Arabidopsis thaliana: one gene and its partners. The protein of the gene in region 3 interacts with the protein of the main gene of each other region in a pairwise test. Each region holds a gene or a part of one and is shown on either strand. Other genes may lie near its edges.

Region 1 (7,574 bases), on a different chromosome or scaffold from region 3:
GCGATGGGAAACTAGTCAGAAAACTGAATTCATTATTTCTGACAGGGTACTATGGAGAGTGTGGGAAAAGAGGTGGTTACATGGAGGTTACTGGATTCACTTCTGATGTAAGAGAGCAGATATACAAAATGGCTTCTGTGAATCTTTGTTCCAACATCTCTGGTCAAATTCTTGCTAGCCTCATCATGAGCCCACCCAAGGTATAAAACATCTATATGACTTTATCATCACAATTGATTCAGTTTCCACCTGTTGGCTTGGACTTGCACATCGATAATTGACCTTAATAGCTTTTATTAAATTTGATCAGCCTGGTGACGACTCCTATGAATCATACATAGCAGAGAAGGATGGAATTCTCTCATCTTTGGCAAGACGTGCAAAGGTTAGCCATTTAATAGACAACTAGGAATATTCAAGATTAGAACTTTCTGTTCTTAAAGTGTTTGAACTCTAACCTTGCAGACTCTTGAAGAGGCTCTGAACAAGCTAGAGGGAGTTACATGCAATAGAGCAGAAGGAGCTATGTATCTATTCCCTTGCCTTCACCTTCCACAAAAGGCAATTGCAGCTGCTGAGGCGGAAAAGACAGCACCAGACAATTTCTACTGCAAACGCCTTCTAAAAGCTACTGGAATAGTCGTTGTCCCTGGTTCTGGCTTTAGACAGGTTTGAAAAAAAGAAATAGCTTTTTCTCCAAAGAACCAAAACTAAAACCTCACTTGCTGATATTGATTATGTCTTTGTTCGGTTTGATGTAGGTACCTGGAACATGGCATTTCAGGTGCACTATACTTCCCCAAGAGGATAAGATTCCAGCGATTGTTGATCGTCTAACTGCGTTCCACCAGAGCTTCATGGACGAGTTCCGCGACTAAGCATTCTGTTTTCAAGATCCCTCTATAGATTATATGAGTAATAATAAGAAAAAGGTCCCATGCCGTTTCTTTTTCATCGACTTTGTGTTTACAGAAGCTAAGATGTGAGAGCATTAGTTAGTGCTCTCTTTCTTATTCACTTTTTGTTCTGTTCTCTTTATAGTGAAAAACCGTAATATAAATTGAGAGAGTTTCTTATAAACGGTTAGTCAAAATGTAATCTCATCAAGAAAACACAAGATTGAACCATTGTTGAATTCCATGTTCAAAGTTTCGATTTCACAGAATCATTTTCGTTTGAAAATATAAATAACTGCATAAGATTAAAGATTGTGGAGAAAAGTAGTGATTAGTTGAGAGACAAAACAGCTGTTACCTGCAATTTATTCTTTCTGAAATTGGAGAATTACGCTAATACCTCCAAATTCCCTTAGTAAAATGTAGACAGTAGTCACGTTCTCTATTCACATGGCCACCATCTCTTAAACTTCAAAGCATGCACATGAGTTAGGTAATGTGTACTGTACATATGATAATGTAGATGCTGCTGAGTAATATCATCATCAGTAAATGATAAGGTAAGTGACTCAAAATCTGATTATTATAGCAGCAGTCAAAGTAAGATCACGTAATTAGATCCCAATAACTATTTCTTCAAACACACACAAATCTTGGTCTATAAAGCAACACGCTTTAGAAGTCTCTAGTTATCTAACTCATATCTCTATCCAAGATTGTCTCAGTTACTGTCACAAGAATAAGATACGAGCTTTCAAGAATCCTAACGGATTTACAAGAAGAGAAATCACAATGAAGAGATACTGTTCAGTGGCTCTGGTTCTGTTACTTGTAGCTTTCTTTAGCAGCAAGTATAGTGTAGAGGGCCGTTCTTTGTTAACGATGACACATTCGAGTCAAGCTGCGAGAGATTTGCATGTAAGCAAGGAGATGAAGAAAGAGCCACTTAAGGGAGAAAAAGATAGCTTAAGAAGAATCCCAAGGGGTGGCTCAAACCCTATACAGATTGACAAGGATCAGGAGAAAGCATCAGTTAGAGGAGAAAAAGATAGCTTCCGAAGAGTCCCTACTCCTACTCCTGCTTCTTCATCGCGTCACTTGTCTGCTTCTTCTTCCGATATCTCTGCTTCTGATTCCTCTTCCTCTCTTCCCGTAACTCTTGACTCCATCAATACCAAGGTCGGTTTTTCTTGACTCCACTCTAGAGACTGATGTCTTAAAACGTTTCTTGACTGCTTCTGATTTTTATTTGTGGGGATATAAATGATCACACAGGTTCTCAAATATGAGTATGCTGTCCGTGGAGAAATTATCAACATTGGTCAATGATGAGACTGGATGTGTTGAGGCCTGAGAGAGTCGGCTGGTCAAACACGTGAAAGAGAAAACCTAATTGCATGTTTAGGGATTAAGCTAAGACTTAGTCTATGTTATTATTCTGTGTCAATTTGTGTCGTGCAAATAAATAAGAGTGACTTGGTTTCCTTGTTTTAAGGAACCAGCATTCCAACCTTTCCCGTTTGTTCTTAATTGTAAGAATCACTTGTTTCCTTCGTTATTTGCTTTTTCTTGTACGCCTTACATAAAATAAGAAAACGACCAAGAGAAAATGCAGTTTCAATCTGCCAAAAATACTTCATGTGGTATATAAATATGGTACATGTGCAGGTCAAATCTTAAAAAAAATTGAAAGCTGGTTTAACTGATAGAATACTGTTCTACATTATGTAATATGTATGGTTCAAAGATTAAAAATCCAAACAACTGAATTTCCAAAGTATGAAGTATACAAGAGATGAAACAATCTGATGATCAATAGCATAAAATCATATAATTAAACTTAACAAAACTAAATAAAATATTTTAGAAATTCATTAGAGGAATACTTCACGACTGGACTAATCAATCACCGTTTTGACCTACACGGCATCGATTAACCCCATCCGTCAGATTTTCCAATTTTTGCATATCCATCGTTGGTTTCCATCCCATCACATTGATTGGCCATGCCGGAACCATATCAACCGTCCGATCGTTACCCATCGCCACAATCTTTTTCCCTATATTTTCTCTCAACATACTCAATGCTGCCATGTACTCCTCAAGCTCCTCTTCTGGCACACTCTCCACCGGACGCTCCCACCACGGTCTCCTACTTTCCTCATCCGCCGCGTTATCACCGGAATATCCCTCCAACTTCACCGGACTCTTACGAAGATACTTGTCTATCAATGCGTCTACATGGCCAAATCTGTAGATCCTATCGCATTTAGAGAACGTTATGACGGCGATTTTTGCGCCCGTGAGAACGCTCAATTCAGCGGATTTCTTGAACAGCCCACGACGGCGTTTCGAGAACGTTACTTGTCTCTTGGTCTCTTCCTCGATTTTCTTGATCTCTATCTTCTGTCTTCCTCGTGTCGTTTTAGGGGTTTGTGTTGTTGTCTCCTTTTTTGGTTGTCTAACCAACATGTTAGGGCTTTGAACAGAATCCTTGGGCGTCAAGCAAGTCATCGATGAAGTTTCTCTTTCTCCTTCCATGAACAAATCTTTCATGACTAACCGAGAGGGGAGAGATGAAAATATCATTAGGTTTTTCCTTGGTCGAGGGATTTATAGTCGTTCATGATTATGTAATAATAAAGGAATTAATTTGTCTTACTTTTCTTCGTACGTTTATGGAATGTTGTATTAAATGCACCTCCAATTAATTAATATTTTTCGGAATGATTCAATGAATCAAAGATAGCTTCTCGTAAAAATGTAAGACATGTGTTGTCTTATACAAAAGTTATAGAAATAATATAAAATCCGAGATACTACTTTCCATTTTAGTCGTTTATTGAATAATCGATTGTGAATTTGTGATACACATTATATTTATATAATATATGCATAGTCTACCTAAATATACACGAATCTCTTTTTACTATCACGTACACATATACAAACGTAGCATGTAGAACAATTATGTCATGCCAAGCAGAAGAAAAACATATGAGTATATGACGTCTTCTTGCCAAGAAGTGATCACATATTCAAATTACACATATGATATTTAAGAATTCCAAATATCACGGTAAAATGTCTAAGTGACAAATTGATCACATATTCAAATTAATTAAGTATCTCATTCGTGGCCAAGAAGTGATTTGATGACATCCTTGTTACTTGATTACAATCTATTCCATAGAACAAAAAAAAAAAAAAAAAAAAAAAGAGTTTAAGAACAGAAACTTGGAAAATAATCAATTATTGAACTACCTCTCTAGAAACAACTAAAATCCCGAATATTTATAAACACCAAAGCAGATAAACCACTTCATAACCAATGCAATTGAAAAGGTTCGGGGACAAAGATAAACCTTGAAATCTTACTAGGGAAAACACCAAAGACAATCTCCATTTCAATGGATCAAATTTGTTTTGAAAAATGTATCCAAAAGTCATAAGTTTATATAAATCGACCTTTCAACTTGACAAATCAGTACTATATAGCCAGCGATTAATGTAAAGAATAGGTTTTCTATAACAATCAGTACAGAGATTTTTAAAATAATTAACAGAAAGTGGCAAAGTTTGTGTAGTTTAATCTACAATAATATGTGAAAATATCTCTGTAAATTTAAATATTTTTTAAAAAAACATAAATAAATAAATTCTTTCATACGTAAGGGTAAAAAGGTAAAATGAGTAAATTCCTTCCCCGAATTTCTCTTTGACTCCGGTGGTCAACGTCGAGCCGAGACGGCAAACTTGAATCAATTTTAAAACAGAGCTTCCGACGCTGAAATTGCAAAATCAAAATCTCTCCAATCTTCGAAACTGAGCAGTTGAGAGAGAGAGAGAGATAGATGGCGGCGAAGACGATGAGGAAGGCGGAGGAGCTGGTGGAGAAGGCGATGAAAGGAAACGATGCTTCTCATGACGCCTGGCACGTGTGGAGGGTCCGAGACCTTGCTCTCTCCATTGCTCGCGAGGAAGGTCTCTCTTCCAATTCTGACTCCATGGAAATTGTGAGTTTGAAAAATCCCTAAATCTCAAAGTTCTAGTTCAGCTGAGCCTGATGAACCTTCTTCTAGTTAGTTCTTCTAGTTAGCTATAGCTGTTTATTGTCAAATTTCAGCTCTTTTACTTTAGAGTGAACCATTTCTGTTGATACTTTGCAGGTGGAGCTTGCAGCTCTTCTCCATGATATAGGTACTTGGTTTTATTTTCATTTCTGTTTTAGTAATGTGGTTCTAGTCCACAGGTTGATCATAATTCGTATCTCTTGCCCTCTCTCTTATCAGGTGATTACAAGTACATAAGGTTTGTTTCTCTAAGTTTTCTTTTCTTTTGAACCGCTTGAGTATAGACTAGTAATGTCCCTTCCAACATTCTTGATCACACTTCCAGGAAACAAAAGTGTTTACTTTTCTCATGAAACTCTCTAAGTTCCCTGCTTTTAACTTTGTTTTATCTAAACTGGATGAATAAAGAAACTTGGAAGTGTTTTGTTTGCGAATGCCATTAGGTAAAGCTTGTGAGAATTCCTTGTCAGATTTGCTTACCTTAGGATTGCTAGGCTCTACTAAGTGGAACTTGGTGTGGATATAAACATAAAAACTACTTAACTATGAATGCTGAAGATTGCTTTCCTTCCGCTGATATGTTGCTTCATGGCAAAAATAATTATAACCGGAATTCAGAGACCCTTCGGAAGAGAAACTTGTTGAGAATTTCCTAGATGATGAGGGTATAGAAGAGACCAAGAAGACGAAGATACTAACGATCATCAATGGAATGGGTCAGTTTCCAGCTCCTACTTTTTACTCAACATATCCAATCAACTATAATGTACATGATTTATCACTACAATTAAGTCATTCTGTTGTATATAAATTTGTGAACAGAACAAGTGTATTCTTTCCAGGTTTTAAAGACGAATTAGCAGGAGTAGCACTCTGTGAGTCTCTTCCAGAATTTGGGGTAGTTCAAGATGCTGATCGCCTTGATGCAATTGGCGCCATAGGTAAGAATACGTCTCTTTTCTTTAGTTGCTTTTGATATGTCATTGCCAAATATCTGCTTTGATGTCATGTGAAAATTCTCTATGTTATGGAATTTGTGCTATTAGTTGTTGTTGATCTCTTTCTGTTATAGGAATTGCTCGTTGCTTTACATTTGGTGGAAGCAGGAACAGAGTGCTTCATGATCCTGAGATCAAGCCCCGGACAGAGCTAACCAAAGAGCAGTACATTAAGAGAGAGGAGCAAACTACTATTAATCACTTTCATGAGAAACTCCTCAAGCTAAAGAAGCTGATGAAAACTGAGGTAAGTTTAACCGCAACTCTATTTTGACGCGAAAAATTTGTTTCGATTTGAGATTTAATGTGGATTGAAAACATATCAGGCGGGTAAAAGGAGGGCAGAGAAAAGGCACAAGTTCATGGAAGAGTATCTTAAGGAGTTCTATGAAGAGTGGGATGGGTCAACTTGAAAAGTTAAAAATGATAAATGAAGCAGAAAAGCAGAGGATTTGTTCAACCGGATTTTATTGAGTAAGCAGTACCTACCAAACCAATATGTGGTTTAGGTTTTAAACAGAGTGGCAACTCTCTCTCTCTTTTTATTTTTTGTTTAAGGCAACTCTATTTAAATAGCTCGTAATAACTATACATTTATAAATGTTAAAATTGCTTTGTTTTTAAAAAAAGAAAACTCTATTATTTTGTCAATGCCAATGATTGTGGAAGAAATCAAGCAAGGATTACACGATAGAGCCAATCGTTTTCTTTTCATAATTTTTTTTTTTACGCCAAAGTCAGTTGTTGTCTTTTTCGTAAAGGGTTTTATAAAGTCCAGTGGCTTTTTGTTTGTCAACTGGTTTAAATATTGACTTGCTATTTTCGTTTTTAAGTCTTCTTTAAATTTTATTAGTGGAAGATGATAAGATGTCTTCTGGATGTTTTAGTGGATCAAGTCATTGCGAGGCTATCTTCGGTCGGCCATAATATAACATTTACCTGGTTTGAATATCAGAATATGTATATTCTTATACCAAACTGACGTGATTTAAAAACGTATAATGACGAAAATTTAGTATTAGTGACATTTGTTTGTCTTTTGATACCTAGATAATAGTTTTCGTTCGTTGGGTAATCTTCATCTTATGTGTTGGCAGTTAAGATTCTTCTTTTACAATTTAAGTCTGGTTTTGCAACAACATACACAAAATACAAAATCAGGTTCTTGGTGGGTATATAAAAAAAAAAACAGTTTCATGTGAAGAACTTACGTTGGGAGTTTTACCAAAAAAAAAACTTACGTTGGGAGTATTCGAATACAATTTTACTAATTAAAAGACATAGTTGTTTACTTGTTTAGATTATAAATAGAAAATAAATCCTTTACGATAATTATAATACGACACTCCTTTTTTTACATACAATTATTCCCTTCTTCTATTTTTGTACTTTTGTTTGAAAACCAATTAATATTTGGAAAGAGTTTGCTTCGTACACAAGGAAATTTTGTTGAATTTAATAAAAATATATAATAATCGAGTGGACTGTTCATGTTTAGCCAAGTCGTTTGGTTTGTAGTATTAAAAAAGACTAATTAATCGCGTATAGAATACATAATCTATTACCATTCAACATAACACATGTCCAACATCCATTGAGTTAGACAC
Region 2 (8,334 bases), on a different chromosome or scaffold from region 3:
ATCAAAAGTAAGCCTCGTTCTTCTCCCTCTGTCTCTCTCTTCTCTCATCTTTAGCTATCTTCCTCCCATGGCAACTATCTCTCAAGTCATTATCTAACTTTTTTTCCTTCTTTTTCTTTTTATATTACTTACTTCTTATGGATATTGGTGTTCATGTTCTTGGGTCGGTTACTAGTAATGAAAATGAGTCACTTGGTCTAAAAGAGCTTATAGGAACTAAACAAGATAGATCCGGATTCATCGGTGAGGATTGCTTGCAACGAAGCTTGAAGCTAGCAAGAACGACAACTAGAGCGGAAGAAGAAGAAAACTTGTCTTCTTCTGTTGCAGCTGCTTATTGCAAAACGATGTCGTTTCACCAAGGCATTCCTCTCATGAGATCTGCTTCTCCTCTTTCCTCTGATTCTCGCCGTCAAGAACAAATGCTTAGCTTCTCAGATAAACCAGACGCTCTTGATTTCAGTAAATATGTCGGTTTGGATAATAGCAGTAATAACAAGAACTCTCTCTCGCCGTTTCTTCACCAGATTCCTCCACCTTCTTACTTTAGAAGCTCAGGTTTGATAATGTCTTCTCTTTATTGATTGGATTTTGGTGAAATGGGTTGTGTAAAATAATCAAATTTTTTACATTTTTGCTGTGGAATGCAGGAGGATATGGTTCTGGTGGAATGATGATGAACATGAGCATGCAAGGGAACTTCACAGGTGTTAAAGGACCTTTTACATTGACTCAATGGGCTGAGTTAGAGCAACAGGCGTTGATCTATAAGTACATCACAGCCAATGTCCCTGTTCCTTCTAGTTTGCTCATCTCTATCAAGAAGTCTTTTTATCCTTACGGATCTTTGCCTCCTAGTTCCTGTAAGCTCCATCTCTTTAACACAATTTCTAGTTGCACATAACTTTCCATTGAGCGATCACTTGTTTGTGAAAGTTTTGGGGTTTTGATCAACTCATTTGTGGTGTGGTTGCTTAATCCAAGAATCAGATTTTATCTAGTCTTTTATGTCATTTTGGTGCTAAATCCTTCATAACATTGCTCATAGGGTTTTCAAGATTTGTCTTGTTGGTTGAAAAGTCTTTACAACAATGGTTGCTTTTAGGATTTTTCATAGGGAATTTTGTTATAAATGGTTAATGAGTGTTTATGTTCGGTTTTGTGTAGTCGGATGGGGAACTTTCCATCTCGGTTTCGCAGGCGGTAACATGGACCCTGAGCCAGGGAGATGCCGCAGAACAGATGGGAAGAAATGGCGGTGCTCAAGAGACGCCGTTCCTGATCAGAAATACTGTGAAAGACACATCAACAGAGGCCGTCATCGTTCAAGAAAGCCTGTGGAAGTCCAATCTGGCCAAAACCAAACCGCCGCTGCTGCATCCAAAGCGGTTACTACACCACAACAGCCTGTTGTCGCTGGTAATACTAACAGAAGCAATGCCCGTGCATCAAGCAACCGCAGCCTCGCCATTGGAAGTCAATATATCAATCCTTCTACAGAATCTTTACCTAACAACAGGTGAAAACAGATTTTTAATACTCTGCATATTCATTGTTAGTTCATATCTCACTTACTGACTCTTGCAAAACAGAGGAGTTTCGATATATCCTTCCACCGTCAACTTACAACCCAAGGAATCTCCGGTTATTCATCAGAAACACAGAAACAACAACAACCCTTTTGAGTTTGGACACATATCCTCTGATTCGTTACTCAACCCGAATACCGCAAAGACCTATGGATCATCGTTCTTGGATTTCAGCAGCAACCAAGAGAAGCATTCAGGGAATCACAATCACAATTCTTGGCCTGAAGAGCTGACATCAGATTGGACACAGCTCTCAATGTCAATTCCAATAGCATCATCATCCCCTTCCTCCACACACAACAACAACAATGCTCAAGAAAAAACAACACTCTCGCCTCTCAGGCTATCCCGCGAGCTTGACCTATCGATCCAAACCGATGAAACAACAATCGAGCCTACTGTGAAAAAGGTGAATACTTGGATACCAATCTCATGGGGAAACTCCTTAGGAGGTCCTCTAGGTGAAGTACTAAACAGTACAACGAATAGTCCAACATTTGGATCTTCTCCTACAGGGGTTTTGCAAAAGTCCACATTTTGTTCACTCTCTAACAACAGCTCCGTGAGCAGCCCCATTGCAGAGAACAACAGACACAATGGCGATTACTTTCATTACACAACCTGAAAACTGAAACCAAGTCCTGCGGCAGGAAACAAAAAAAGAAAAGCTCTGTTTTTTCTCTTTCATTATGTTCTGTTTCGTCTTTCTAAAGCTTAAAGAGGAAATTAGAAAATCGTTGTTCTTCTGATTCTTTCTTCGTTTCCGATTTCTGAATCATTTGTTTGATAATCACTTCATATAATCACAATCTTTATTCTAATTGTTCAGTTACAAACTAGGGTTTATCTTTGCTCTTTCATCAAGGGAAAACTTTTAGGGTCGTAACAAAAATGGACTTGAGGACCTAAATTATTGTTGGGCTTTATGTTCCAAAACTTTATTTGGGCCGAGATAGGCATTTTAACGATTAAGATATATTATGTAGTGATATTACAGTATTTGGGATCGTGGCAACCGGTTTATTAGGCTTGGTTTAGTACTTTAAAATACAGTGTATCTTTTCAACAATTATGGGCGTTGTAGCATGATGTCAATGCGCATAAAGCCTTTCCAGTTTCCACTAAGTAATAATGTAAATCGTTGTATTAATTTAATAACTCTTTAAGTTATTTATCTCATACACGAGAGTGGGAAAAAGAAAACCAAAATAAAAATCTGTTTTGTTTTCCTTCTTCTCTAGTGTAGTGGAGTCACAACATATAGAAAACGAGAAAGTGGAAAGGAAAATTAGAAAACTATCATTTTCTCTTCCTAACCTTCATTTCATTTACATAGAGAGATAGAGAGACATAGCGAGAGTTTCTTTTTTGCTTTGCTTTTTTTTTTTGGTTATTGTTCTAAGTTTTTCGATATTTTTTCTTCTTAAATATTTTGATCTATCATTGAAGATGAGGGTGGTTTTGTTCAGTCATGATCATTCTCCGGTTATGTAGTTCCCATTGTTGCTGTTGTTGAAGTTGTCTAATGATCAGAATCCGACGCATCTCCGACAATCTTAGCCGGAGTATCTCTTGTTCTGTCACGAGCCGGTTATTGTCGGAATTCACTCGTTGAAGCTGGTGTAAAACTAACCGGAGTCGGTTCCCGAGCTCACGGTTTTCTAAATCCAACCGGTTTACTTGCTCTCGTAAGTTATCAATGTGACTTTGTTTACGCATTCTTGACCGTTTCGCTGATTCCCGGTTTGACTCCATCCTCTTCCTCTTCCGCTCGTCGGTCATCTCCGGTTGGATCATTTTTTTCCGGTTATGGTTATTCTCTCCCGAACCGAAATTTGTGATGGCTGTCAATTGTTTTGTGTCGTCCGAGTCCGGTTCATCTGCTTGAGAGCACGGTAGATCGTTTGATATGTCGGCGTCGTCACAACGAGGATTAATTTTGACGAAACCGGCACAAGATTCGTCAGAACCGGTTTTCATGTCATGAGAACCGGAATTAATTTTGACGGAACCAGTGTCGGATTCACCATAACAAGGACTAGGGATGGCCGGTTCAAGAGACATTTGGTCCACGAAAAAGAGATCAGAGCAATCCCATTCCCAAGGAGTGAACCCGGTTTGGAAACCCGAGAATTGATTAACCAAACCCGGTTCGGAGAATGAAAAGGCCGGTGCAGTGGACAACATAATTGCTAATAATTTTTCTAATAGAGAGATGAGAGAAATTAGAAGGGGAAAAGGGAAGAATTGCATTGTTGGAGCTTGATATTTATGGACAAACCAAGGGGTAATTTGGTCATATTTCCAAAATACGATGTAAGACCGTAGACTATACTGTATAAACAGCTTTTGAGTCATGTTGCACTATGGTGGGGTTAAAAACTTGAAAATTTTTATTTGGCAGAGCCAACTTTTGTAAAAGCAGGAAATATTGTGTAGGGCACCAATAGCTTGTTTTGGGTCCATATAACAAAAATAAATTAACAAATTTGAAAATTATGTAACCAGTAATAGCTTAGTGATGAAGAAAACAGTCCATATTTCACACGTTTTAAGAAATTCAAGAATGAGATATTTCTTTACACTCCTAGAAAAAGTTTAACTTTTCATATTGGAATTGAATACTTCATATAGTTTTCTCTCATTCTTGTTAGAAGATTCAACAAAAAAAACAAAAAATTATCAATTCCATATTATCTTCAATAAACTTATCATTTTAGTTAGTGATTAGATAAAACAAAAATTGTATGTGAACATATGCTGGTTAATTATGATATTTACAGTCAGAATAGAGTAATTTGTGGTTCTTTATGTTCACTGTTTAATAATCTTTCTTAAAGAGAAAGACAATCTTTTTTTAAAGAGAATGGCAATCTTTCTTTATTTTAGTTTTGTCAATTTCTTTTAACACGGGATGGACACACACTGGAGAGGGACTAGAATCATCGTTTCAATCAGAGAATCTAAGGAACATACTTTTCAATTAACTGAACCAAACTGGTGCTTTGCATGAGAGATGAGACCAATGCTTTTTGTAAAGAACCCTATAAGTTAACCTATGACCAAAAAGTTAAGTATATATACTTGCTTGCTACACGGAAACATTGAATATTTCGATTGCAAGGATACATCAAATGTAGAGTATTTTTAGATTAGTTTCTTCATTAGAAATATAATGTGAAAAATTCAATAATTTAATTGTTAAATCTTGAATCAAAATATATTGTTTCGTAAATAATGTTTAAATATACAACAGAAAATTAATGGAAATATAGAAAATAAATTAATTTTTATCTTAATGTTGAATTGTTTTCTCTTTGGTTAAAATGCTGCATCAATCATAATTGATTGTATAAATATATATACGGCATTACATAGCTTTTTCGCTTAATAATTTACCAATCTAAGGAAAGATAATTAATAAGGATGAAAAATGCGCCTAGACTTCTAAATCACACAATCCCTAGTACAAAATTCTGATTAAAATTAAATTTAGTATACTATAATTATATTAATTTTTAGATACCTTTACTTAGCTTATTTATGATGAGAAACAAAAAATGTGGAGCAACGGCCACATGCATTTCATATAGAATAAAGTGGAGAGGACAAAGACTTATATATATTACATATACACGTCGCTTTATTATAGCCAGATTCATGTTTTGGTTCGGTCTCATGTGAACTCAACTTTAAATGTCCAGAAAAAAAAGCTCACATCTTAGCTTTTTATATACATTAAAAAAGGTCGAGTGGAGGGACCTATTACTATTGTTAACCACTGAAAAAGTCGTATCGCAGATCGGTCGATGAGCCAGGAGCTAAGCTTGTGCCCGGCTGGTGAACCAGCTTTCAACATGGCTTATAGCAAGTTACAACAAGGTTCTGTTGAGATAATCATATACAGTTTGATATATTAGCAAAATATTTTATAGTTTGATCCTAATTAGTACAAAGTTCTTAAAGCTCGATCTATATACGTATACGAACATTTCATGCTAAGTGGTCTATTTTAACATTTGTATTTCGAAATTTTTTAAAGTTTGATACAATGATTTTTCCCTAGTGGAGTTACAAAAATCTTTATCTTAAAAAGTTTTCACCTCATTATTGTATTAAAGGAGTTCAATACACATGTCATGGGAAATGAAAAAAGTTTATAAGACGGAAAGCCCACATTTACTTGTAAATTGATGTCACAACTTTAGTTCGAATATTCATTGAGCCTTAACACGTAAATAACTCAATAATTTAAAGATTTAATGTTCTATAATAGTCTTTTTTTCGTTTGTACTCACACGCATATTTATCATATTGGAATCCGGACAGCGAACAGGGTAGCAACATTCGTACATACAAACCACTAAATTAAAACCCGCATCAATTTTTTAGAACATTTTAGAATTACATTAATTCTTCCTTTACATATCTGAAGACATACGTACATAGAATCTTTATATAACTCAAGTAATAGTCATGCGAATCATGTAGAAGACATTATTCTTTACCCTTATGCTAATTAACGAACTTCCCTTTGCTTGAGGAAACATATACCAATTTTGATGCGTATAGGTATATATTATGGATCTTGTACTATTGATGATTCATACATACAATTAAACTTACGGAAAATCCAATAAATTTTGATTTTATACCTATATTTATAAATTTTACTATATAAACTCTGAAAAAAACAATTTTTTTTTTTAAAAAGATTTAATTCTTTAAAAAAAGTTAACCACAAAAACTATCATTGAAATGTAACGGAATTCCAGTAGATCATATCTGAACAAATATTCTTAAAAATTTGTTAAAACTTCAAATACTTATTTGTAAGATTATAGTCAACTTGGTGTGTATGCTTTTCTTATATTTATGCTAATTACTTAGCCTATGGCTAGTTTAGCCCCGTTTAGGTCATATTAAATTTAAAAATCTTAAACTAAAGTCGAGGAGGAAACTTTAATAAAAAGTTTGAAGAAATTCTAAATATGACGCATGTAAAGTTTTTTAATCACTATAAAAAGAATACAGGCCATATAACGACAAAATTTGTAAATTGGGAAAACCCTAAATGAGTCTATTATTTTTGTCATGGAAAAACTTAAACGTGTCGTTTCTTTGGCAATGGATGTCCACATGCAACACTCTTGCTATTTGAATTTTCTTTGAAAAAGTCTGTCGTTTCTATGAAAATGAGTTGCAAATATTTGATGTTATTGAGTACTGATTTAAAAAAAAAAAACTTTACGGATACAAATACTATAGAATGTTGTTTAAGATAATTTAGTCTCCAGGTAGTCGCATACTGGAGAAATCGTTAATACTTTTCTATATATATATATATATATATATAAAACTAATTTTTTATTAGTATATTAAATAGATATAAGTCTGACGATCAATAATTGATATTATTAAGTCATTAATAAGAGTATAAGACTAAGAACAATGGCGACTAAATGCTAACATTGCTCGGGTCCTCGACCTAAACTTTCGTGTCGATTAAGTTTTGGCCGTCGGATGTACTCAACAGATCCAGAAAATTAACTCTACGCTTCTACAGTTCAACAAATTAGCGATATATTTTTCCTAAATTACTTTTATATTTTTGTCGCCTTGCATCGTTCGTGTTAACACATATTTTTGTGTGTGTGGTGTATATATATATGAGTAAATGGATGTAAAGTAAGTAAGTAACGTTAGCAATCCACTAATTATGGCTTTTTAAATGTATCTTTTTGTAATCTATATGTTTGTGGTGGAGTGTTCGTTGAGATTTATCGTGTGGCGTCATTTGGTACGTCATTAGCCATTAGGGTTCTCCTTATAGCTCCAAATATATATGTATGCATCGTATATGTACATGCATATTAGAATATGGTCAAATGTTTACGTAAGGGTGGGTTTAGTTAACGAGTTTCGAACTTCTTTGCTTTGCAACTTTAAAAATCGATTGGTTTCTCGTGATATTAACATTATAGTGGTTGGGGCCTGCAACTATTGCGATAATTGTACTAATTAGTGACATCAAATTACTGATAACCAATTCATAAATTGTTTTTCTGCGTGTCGACCTACTAATTAAATCGGGTTAAAGTAATGTATGTTTCAACTTTCAAGTTTTTTATTTCCGACTGTACCACCATCATGCTTGAATTGCATTGGGCCAGTATATTGGTATATTTGGCCCAATATGAAAAAATCAACGGTTGACTTCACGTAAAAACAGGTCAACGTTTTTGATAGACTAATGCCAAACAAAAAAAGTTCTTTTATTATTCTTAGGGATTGGTTTTGGAAAAAAAAAAAAAAAGGGATTGGTTTTGGTCCAATTAACAATCTCCTTTACCCTTAACAGCACCAGTGGCAAATTATGGCAAAATAATAATAATCAGTAGTAGCAAAAAACATTCAGTCCATTTAACCTCCCTATAAATATACTTCTAGATGTTTCCAATATAAATCGAGGTAATGTGTGATGGTTAATCTTTAGAAACATATTGGTATAACCTAACTTTTATCAAATCCACTTTTCTTTATATATAATTTTAAAATACTATAAAATTTTGAATATTACACATTCATTTGTTTCCTTTTTGAAAACGAGTGAAAGAGATATACATCTTTCTTTCTTTCTTTTTTTAACTTTTACAACTACATTTTTAATAGATAAAAACATTAACAAATGAAAAAGATAAGAACAAAACACTCTAATTTTTTTCTTCTTAAAATAAGAACTAGA
Region 3 (8,472 bases):
GCTCTATTTTTTTTTTCATGAAAACCCCTATTTTTACCTAACATTAACAAATAAATAAAAATGGAATGGAATATGTGGTCCAGAACAAGAAGTGTATATCGAAATGATTTACTTAAATACCTTTAACTATTACTCCAATCCTATTAAAATTAAAGTCCATCAGCTATGATTTACAGGAGTGGACATTCTGATATTTTATCTAATTCGATAAATGTTGCGGTTCATTCCAAATTTGTACCTATTTAAAGGTAAAATATCTATATAGTCTTATCGAATTTTGGAGCTAAGATTATTTTTAATTCCTAAAAACATATGTTTAGTGAGCTAGTTAGTAAATGAATCTAATTTTTTTGTTGGTTAACAGAAAATATCACATACTTACATAGTGATTTCAAATACTAATAAATTGTTTCATACTATATGCGTATATCCTATATGGACTGACTGGTCAGACATATTGAACGGAGTGGAGTCTTTATTCACATAACCTAAAAATAACTTTTTTTGATATGCATGTGTATCTATAGGCCAAATATATTTTAGTTCTACCACAGAAGTTAAAATAAATTGTATTAGTAATATATTTAGTCCTTTGAAAGTGGGAAACGAAATTAGCCTCACACAAGCACAGTGATGATTGATTTCTTCTTCTTTTTTTTACCCAAAAAAATCCATTTTTTCTTGTAATTTCTTATTTCCAGATTATTTTCTTCATAACAAAAAAAAAAGAAAAGAAATTGCTCACTTCACTTCTCACTAGATTCTTTATAACGAAACCTCCACTACACGGGCCCTAAATTTGGGCCACATGGGCTTCTCTCTTAACGAATTACGCACGAGTAAACTTCATTTTTCCAACAAGAAGAAGAAACTCAGGGGAATCTAAAGATTGTTTACTTTAATTTAAGAAATATGGAGAAATCATAATAAATTAATTACGTACTACTTATAGTAAATTTGTTGAATTACATAAATTCATAATTCAAATTTTACAAATACTTTTAATATCCTGTGTTATTTTAACAAAGCTGGTCTGGCTCTTAAGTTCTCATCCCAAGGACCATGGGATGTTTTGCTTTTTTTTTCTTTTGCTTGTTGGATGAGTATGTGAACCTTTTTATGGATACAGGACGAATCCCATTGTTTTATTTACATTCTACATTATTCGTTTATACGCTTCTATTAACCTTTGATTTTTAAAACTCTTCTCTACCTATCAATTTGTAATCGGATGATCCCTCTAACCTCACTTCTGTCTCATGCACTGACTTTAATTGTTTCGTAATTTACAATGTAGGATTTATAGATTTTTTTGGCAAATGAAAAACAGAGTGTTTACATCATGTATTACGTATATGAATCATACACTAAATCCAACATATATATGTAGAATTGCTAATTAATCTTTTTGTTGATTAATTACTTCAAAGTATCAGTAGACAAGAAACTAAACATAACAGTGTCTCTTACACTTCCCTTGATACATATAAACTTCCTCATCACACCTTCTCTAGTAAACCCAACTTTTTCAAGAACCCTTTGAGATCCAACATTGTCCACATCAACAAGTGCCTCAAGCCTTTCAATCTCTGGAAATTCCTCGAATACCTCCGCGGTCACTAGCCTCACTGCTTCCGTGGCAAACCCTTTTCCCCAATACTTTCTCGCTAGGACATAACCAATCTCTTTTCTGATGTTATCAACCGCCATGATCAAGATGTAGCCGATTGGACGGTCGTCTTCTAAGCAGATGGCTCGGAGCCAAGGGTGTGTCAGGACACGATCGGTTATGTATTTGATAGCTTCGTCTCGGCTCGTGCAAGGCTCCCAAGTGCAAAATCGAGCCACTTTAGGATCTGTGGCCCAAACCATGTAGTCATCGACGTCGGAAAGAGTCATCGGCCGGAGAGATATTCTTCCCGGAGGCGAAGAGCTCATTATTGGATTAGTTTCTTCTGAGTCCATCTCCATTTAGGATTAGTGATTGTTTTAGATATCATATCACTACGTCTAAGCGATGTCTTTATACACATCGCGATCTTGAAAAACTTTGAGATTCTCCCTTATTGCTTTTGACTAAAAAAACACTAAATATTACCATTTGCTATAGATAAGTGTATTTAGTGTTAAATATACGACATAAGATGAGGTGTCATCGTGTGAGTGGATAATTGTCTATATTTGACCTTGGACTTTCGACACTTACTTGGTTGCCAAACAAAGTATTGTTCTGGTTTCGGAACTTAATGTGTTGCTTCCAGTTGGATGCCCACAATGCCACGTGTCAAATCGTGTGTGGTCTGATTCCCAAAAAGGATTTAACTGTTTCTCAAGTTATTCTAAATGGATTAAATATTTTAATACTGTTAATATTTGTGGTGCAAATGATCGTAATCGTTTGTTATATACTGTCAAAATCAACTCAAGAATCAAGTCACTCAACATGTTGTATGATTAAGTAATTTAGCTAAAGATTAATTAATCGAATGTTATCAGAATTCCATTCATCTATCGCTGTAAAACTAGCTATCACACTATCTTTTTATTGTATAAAATATTTCATGTTTAGATTCAAAAAGAAAATATATATATATATATCATGTTTCATTTTGTACTTTTAATTTTCAATATAAACTTACATTTTTTCTGAGATAGTGAAGCTTTGTTTTATTTGGTGAAGTGAACATGGTAAATAGTAAATACATTACTCTCAAATTATAAAAAATAACTTTTGTATGAAATAGTTAATATATAAGGTTACAACTAACAATTACATAAGAAGAAGAAAGATAGAGCATCACATCAAATTATACATGTGATTTTTACAAACTAAGCAAAATATAAATTTCGACATCAAACAAACTTAATATATATATTTGATATTTGTTAATTCAAATCAGATCAGTGCAACGAATCAGAAGGCAAGAAACTAAACATGACCATATCTCTAACATTTCCTTTAAGATACATAAATTTCCTCATCACACCTTCTTTCACAAACCCAACTTTTTCAAGAACCTTTTGAGATCCAACATTGTCAACGTCAACAAGTGCCTCAAGCCTCTGCATCTCTGGCTTCTCCTTGAATATCTCCCCCGCCACAAGCCTCACCGCTTCAGTGGCGATCCCTTTCCCCCAATACTTGCTTCCGAGGACATAACCAATCTCTCCTCTGATCTCATCGACTGGCGTTACGGAGATCGAGCCAATCGGACGGTCGTTATCTAAGCATATAGCTCTAAGCCAAGGGTGTGGCAAAAGAGCGTCGTTTAAGTACGCGATCGCGGCTTCTCGGCTAGTGTAAGGCTCCCACGTGCAAAAGCGTGTGACGTTTGAGTCAGTGGCCCAAACCATGAAATCGTCGACGTCGGAAAGAGTCATTGGCCGGAGATGGATTTTCTCCGGAGGTGAGGAACTCACGGTGGATAGGGTCTCCGGTTTGATCGTAGTAGTTGAGTCCATCTCCATTGACTTTTTCTTGGTTACTTTCCTTTTTGAGTCTTTGAAGCTTCTTTGGGATTCTTTAAAATAAATTATCTCTCTCAATTCTTACAGATTTGTGTAGAGGCATTATGATAATACTTCTTCTACAAATCACGATTTAAATACTGATTTTTTTTTAACAAAAAAGAAAATAAACAGAACGTTCCTTCTTGCTTCGATCGGTCAAATACGCAACAATTAGTTCTTGTTGAATGGAAGGTGTGAAAAAGACGGTTTATAATGGGTATGGGTGAACCGTATATTTACCATCCATTCATCGTTTTTGATTTAAAAGAGGTATATTCAATCTAGTATTTAAAGTGACTTTCGTAAATTTTACAAGTATATGTTATTTAATTATGGATTTTGAAAATTCTAATGAAATCTAGTGTTATTAAAATAATAATTTAAAAATCTACCTTTAAATTCACTGTTATTAAAAATAATTTATGGATTTGATTTTTATAAGAATGTATTCAATCTAATATTTTAAGTGATTTGTGTAAAATTTATAAATTCTATGTTGTTCGATTATGGATTTGAAAAACTTTAATGAAATCTAGTATTATTGAACTAAAGATTTAAAATTCTATCTTAAAATCTATTGTTATTGAAAATAATTGGTAGATTTGATTCTTATTAATTTTGAAGGATTTGAGAAAGTTCTTTAGTTAAAAATAACAAAATCGAAATTCATGGTCTTATATAGAATTTTAAAATATTTTATAATAAATCACATCAATTTTCCTAAAATCATCAAACTCATATAAAAACTAGCTAAAACTCAAATTGTAAGGTCCAAATTAATGAGTCAACTCAACTCAACTCAACTCAATCCATGAACCCTAATGAGTTGAAAATTTTGACTCAAATGAGTTGATGAGTCAAATGAGTTGATGAGTCAATTGGTTTGATGAGTAAAATGAGTTGGGTTGTAATGGTTAATGGTTTCAATGGTTTATCCAATTAACCCATCAAATTTTGTAAAATTGAATTAAACCAACTAAAATCTCTAAACCAATGCCAATTTAAGTCTAACCAACACATCTAAACCAATTTAATAAAATTAATATTTTTCCAAATTTCTTAAATATACAAGCGATGAAATTGAGAAAAAGTAAACCCGTAATTTTTCCGCCAAAAACGTAAATCCGTGATTTTCCCGCCAAAAACGTAAATCCATGATTTTCCCGCCAAAAACGTAAACCCGAGATTTTCCCGCCAAAAACGTAAACCCGTAAAAAGTGGAATCCGTAAATATATTAAGTTTTGATGATAATGAATTAATAATGATAATTATTTATTATTATTTTATAATAATAATTAATTAAATTATTACTTAAATGGGTTAACCCATTTAACAACTCAACCCATTAAATTAAATGAGTTATGGGTTGACTTAACCCATTTAACAAAATGAGTTGGATCAACCCATAACTCATTTAACCCTAAACTCATTTGATTATGAGTTGAGTTGAGTTGTGTTACCCATTTTGACACACTTAGATCTAATACACCTCTTTATTAATTTTAAAGGATTTGAGAAAATTTAAAAAGATTTATTTAGTTACATATATAAAAATTCAAATCTCATATTTTTACTGGAATTTGATTTTTTTTTTTTACAATAAATCACATAAAAAGACATTAAAACTCAAAATTATTTAAAATATAAGGTTCAATACATATTTTGTCAATAAAAATTTAATAAGCTGCTAATATAGTTCATGAGAAAAATCAAAAATTAATTTATCAATCGAAAAAAAAGACGAAGAAAAATTAATTTATCTACGTAGCGCAAGAGACGGAGTGTTGTTTATTTAAAGAAAAGAAAGAAAAAAAAAAGAACGAATATTAAAATGGCGAGTCGCTCTCTTTTCTCTATCTCAATCTCACCTTCTCAATTTACAGTTTTGCCATCCATCAACAACGAGAGACGACGCCTTGCTATCGCCGCTCGATCTCACCGACTATCACGCCGGAAGATTCGTAAGAGACCTCCTGATAGAGATATGTCCTCCATAGTTTCAATCCCGGAGCTTCCTCGCCGGCGGGATTCTGAGGAAAGCCTGCTTTTAGATTCTCGAATCAGTAAGTTCTTAAAGCAACAGAATCCTCAGAAATTGGCATTTGGGATTAGGTTTTGCAAGTATCGAAGCTCCATTAACTGAATCCTCAGAAATGTGTGTATATGAATAGGTGTAGCTGAAGGAGATACATCGAATACAGATGTAGAAGGAGACAGAGATACTACTTCTAGTATTAGAACACAGCCTCCCCCTCGTAAAGGAAGAAATCTTAGTAGCAGCAGAATCAAATTCTACGGTGTTGAATTATCACCAGATAATGTTGCTGTAGCAATGGTGTATTTTGTTCAAGGTGTTTTAGGACTCGCTAGGCTCGCTGTTAGTTTCTATTTAAAAGATGACTTGCATCTTGATCCTGCTGAGGTATGCTTTTTGTAGTTCCTTGTTGGACTTTCATGGGAATATCTCTTTATAGGCTGACAAATATATACCTCTTGACTAGACAGCTGTGATAACGGGTCTTTCTTCATTGCCGTGGCTTGTTAAGCCTCTCTATGGTTTTATCAGGTATGAGTTCTTTATCACCTCTATACCTCTTGACTGTGATAACTGTTTAAGGAAGTTGGTCTGTTTTGCAGTGATTCAGTGCCTCTATTTGGTTATCGAAGGAGGTCATATCTAGTTCTCTCGGGACTTCTTGGTGCATTTTCTTGGAGTTTGATGGCTGGTTTTGTTGACAGTAAATATAGTGCTGCTTTTTGTATACTTCTCGGTTCCCTCTCTGTCGCCTTTTCTGATGTTGTAAGTTTTCAAATCCATTCTGGTTAACTTAGCTTGGTTAAGTTGCAAGATAGAGTTGGATATATTGAAATATTAATTAAGTGGTTAACGTTTTAATAGGTAGTAGACTCAATGGTAGTGGAACGGGCTCGTGGTGAGTCACAAAGCGTGTCAGGATCGCTGCAGTCTTTGTGCTGGGGATCCTCAGCTTTTGGTGGAATTGTGAGTTCCTACTTTAGCGGCTCCCTGGTGGAGTCATATGGTGTGAGGTACAGTTCACAATTTGCGCAAACAGTAGCTTTTCTCTTTTTCGGTATTCCGTGGCATAGCTAACTAACTAAGTGGCATTCTAAAAGCTGTTATACCTCAGGTTTGTATTTGGGGTGACAGCTTTACTACCCTTGATAACTTCAGCAGTTGCTGTTCTCGTGAATGAACAACGTGTGGTCAGACCAGCATCAGGGCAGAAAGAGAATATAACGCTGCTCAGTCCTGGTTTTCTTCAGACCTCAAAGCAGAACATGATTCAGCTATGGGGTGCCATTAAGCAACCGAATGTTTTTCTCCCCACCTTATTTATATTCTTATGGCAAGCCACACCACACTCAGATTCTGCAATGTTTTACTTCACGTATGTCCTCTTCCACTTGGTTCATGCCTTCATGGTTATTGGCTTATTTCATATTCTCTGGAATGTATTAACTAGTCTCTAACTAATTTTATTTGGTACAAATTTCACCTCAGAACGAACAAACTCGGTTTTACCCCGGAGTTTCTGGGACGAGTTAAACTTGTGACCTCAATTGCCTCATTGCTTGGAGTAGGACTGTACAATGGATTCCTGAAGACTGTTCCATTGAGAAAAATCTTTCTCGTGACGACAATTTTTGGCACGGGTCTTGGGATGACTCAGGTTGGTTCCCGTCCGCTCTTTACAAGAAAAACTTTGCCATCTATTATCTGTTACACAACCAATAACTCTTGGGACCGTTCTTATGTTTTGCAGGTTATCCTCGTGTCAGGTTTTAACAGACAGTTGGGGATTAGCGACGAATGGTTTGCTATAGGAGACTCTCTAATCCTAACAGTCCTTGCTCAGGTTTACATATTTGTCAGCATTGAGTTTTTCAAAGGCTGCATTATTGGAATTTGTGATTCCATAGTTAATGGAGCATTATTGGAATTTGTCAATATCTATGCACTGACAGCTTAAAATCGAACTGTAACAGGCTTCATTCATGCCGGTTCTTGTGTTAGCAGCGAGATTATGTCCAGAAGGAATGGAAGCAACTCTGTTCGCTACACTCATGTCAATCTCTAACGGAGGCAGTGTTCTAGGTGGGCTTATGGGTGCAGGACTGACTCAAGCATTCGGCATTACAAGAGACAGTTTTGGTAACTTATCAACACTTATTATCCTCTGCAATCTTAGCTCATTGCTCCCTCTGCCTCTTCTCGGTCTTTTACCGCGAGATTCTCCAGATACTCTTACTAAAGATGACGCAGACGTTGAGATGAAGTCCAATTAAGGAAGATGATGATAATTATCAAAAGTTAAAATGTGATATACCTTTAGAGGTGTTCTGTGTATTCAGTTCCAACCCTGTTATTACTTGAAAAGAATGAAGCAGGCTTTTACATGGAAACTACTTTTACCCAAAATATCATGTAACCAAAATGTTGTAATTCTTAAAACAATAAACTCTTTTGTTATTAGATTGCAGAAAAATACTTCAATATGCAAAAATAGTCATGATAGTAATCTCTACAAGATAGTTTCTAACATGAATCTTGATTTGATTCAACAGACCTGATTCACTCTTCTTCATCAGCACCATAGTTGTGGCATAGTGATGCGAGTCCCAAACTTGTTGTCTTCTTCTTCTTCAAGGTTATAATGCAAGCAAGTTTCTTAGTCTTAGGTTTCTTCTCATCTACTGCCTCCATTCTTACTTTCTTCGTCTTCTCCATCTCATCAGTTTCTTCGTCGACAATCCTCCTCTGCTTACCAAATTTGGTAGACTTTATCAACGCTGCATCTTCCTCCTTTGCAACTTCTTCTTCTTCTTTGTGTCTTTTACTCAAATCCTCAAGCATAGAGTCTACACTCACCGATACGCGTCTAGATTTCATAGATTTCATCTCATCAAGTGCAGCCATTACATCAACCTCTCTTTTCGAA

Evidence for each region. Proteins that work in one complex are often made in the same cells at the same time.
Region 1: the proteins of AT2G32030 (region 3) and AT1G17310 interact in a two-hybrid assay, tested with the Arabidopsis thaliana proteins (one large-scale study listed by BioGRID).
Region 2: the proteins of AT2G32030 (region 3) and bZIP7 interact in a two-hybrid assay, tested with the Arabidopsis thaliana proteins (one large-scale study listed by BioGRID).

Annotation. Positions count from the first base shown.
Region 1 is NC_003070.9:5,925,216-5,932,789, forward strand, and holds AT1G17310 (MADS-box transcription factor family protein), read right to left. Parts: upstream 3,619-7,574; 5' UTR 3,486-3,618; coding exon 2,799-3,485; 3' UTR 2,710-2,798; downstream 1-2,709. Other genes in the region: AlaAT1 (alanine aminotransferas), read left to right, coding at 46-200, 311-385, 466-669, 762-878; AT1G17300 (uncharacterized protein), read left to right, coding at 1,689-2,075, 2,172-2,225; AT1G17330 (Metal-dependent phosphohydrolase), read left to right, coding at 4,751-4,912, 5,066-5,096, 5,189-5,207, 5,588-5,685, 5,812-5,910, 6,042-6,214, 6,294-6,380.
Region 2 is NC_003075.7:17,719,413-17,727,746, reverse strand, and holds bZIP7 (basic leucine-zipper 7), read right to left. Parts: upstream 4,109-8,334; 5' UTR 3,948-4,108; coding exon 3,030-3,947; 3' UTR 2,710-3,029; downstream 1-2,709. Other genes in the region: GRF2 (growth-regulating factor 2), read left to right, coding at 138-558, 651-863, 1,168-1,519, 1,593-2,214.
Region 3 is NC_003071.7:13,629,774-13,638,245, forward strand, and holds AT2G32030 (Acyl-CoA N-acyltransferases (NAT) superfamily protein), read right to left. Parts: upstream 3,779-8,472; 5' UTR 3,469-3,778; coding exon 2,902-3,468; 3' UTR 2,695-2,901; downstream 1-2,694. Other genes in the region: AT2G32020 (Acyl-CoA N-acyltransferases (NAT) superfamily protein), read right to left, coding at 1,420-1,971; AT2G32040 (Major facilitator superfamily protein), read left to right, coding at 5,343-5,574, 5,683-5,933, 6,013-6,077, 6,149-6,311, 6,411-6,559, 6,661-6,921, 7,035-7,203, 7,297-7,389 and 1 more; AT2G32050 (cell cycle control-like protein (DUF572)), read right to left, coding at 8,106-8,472.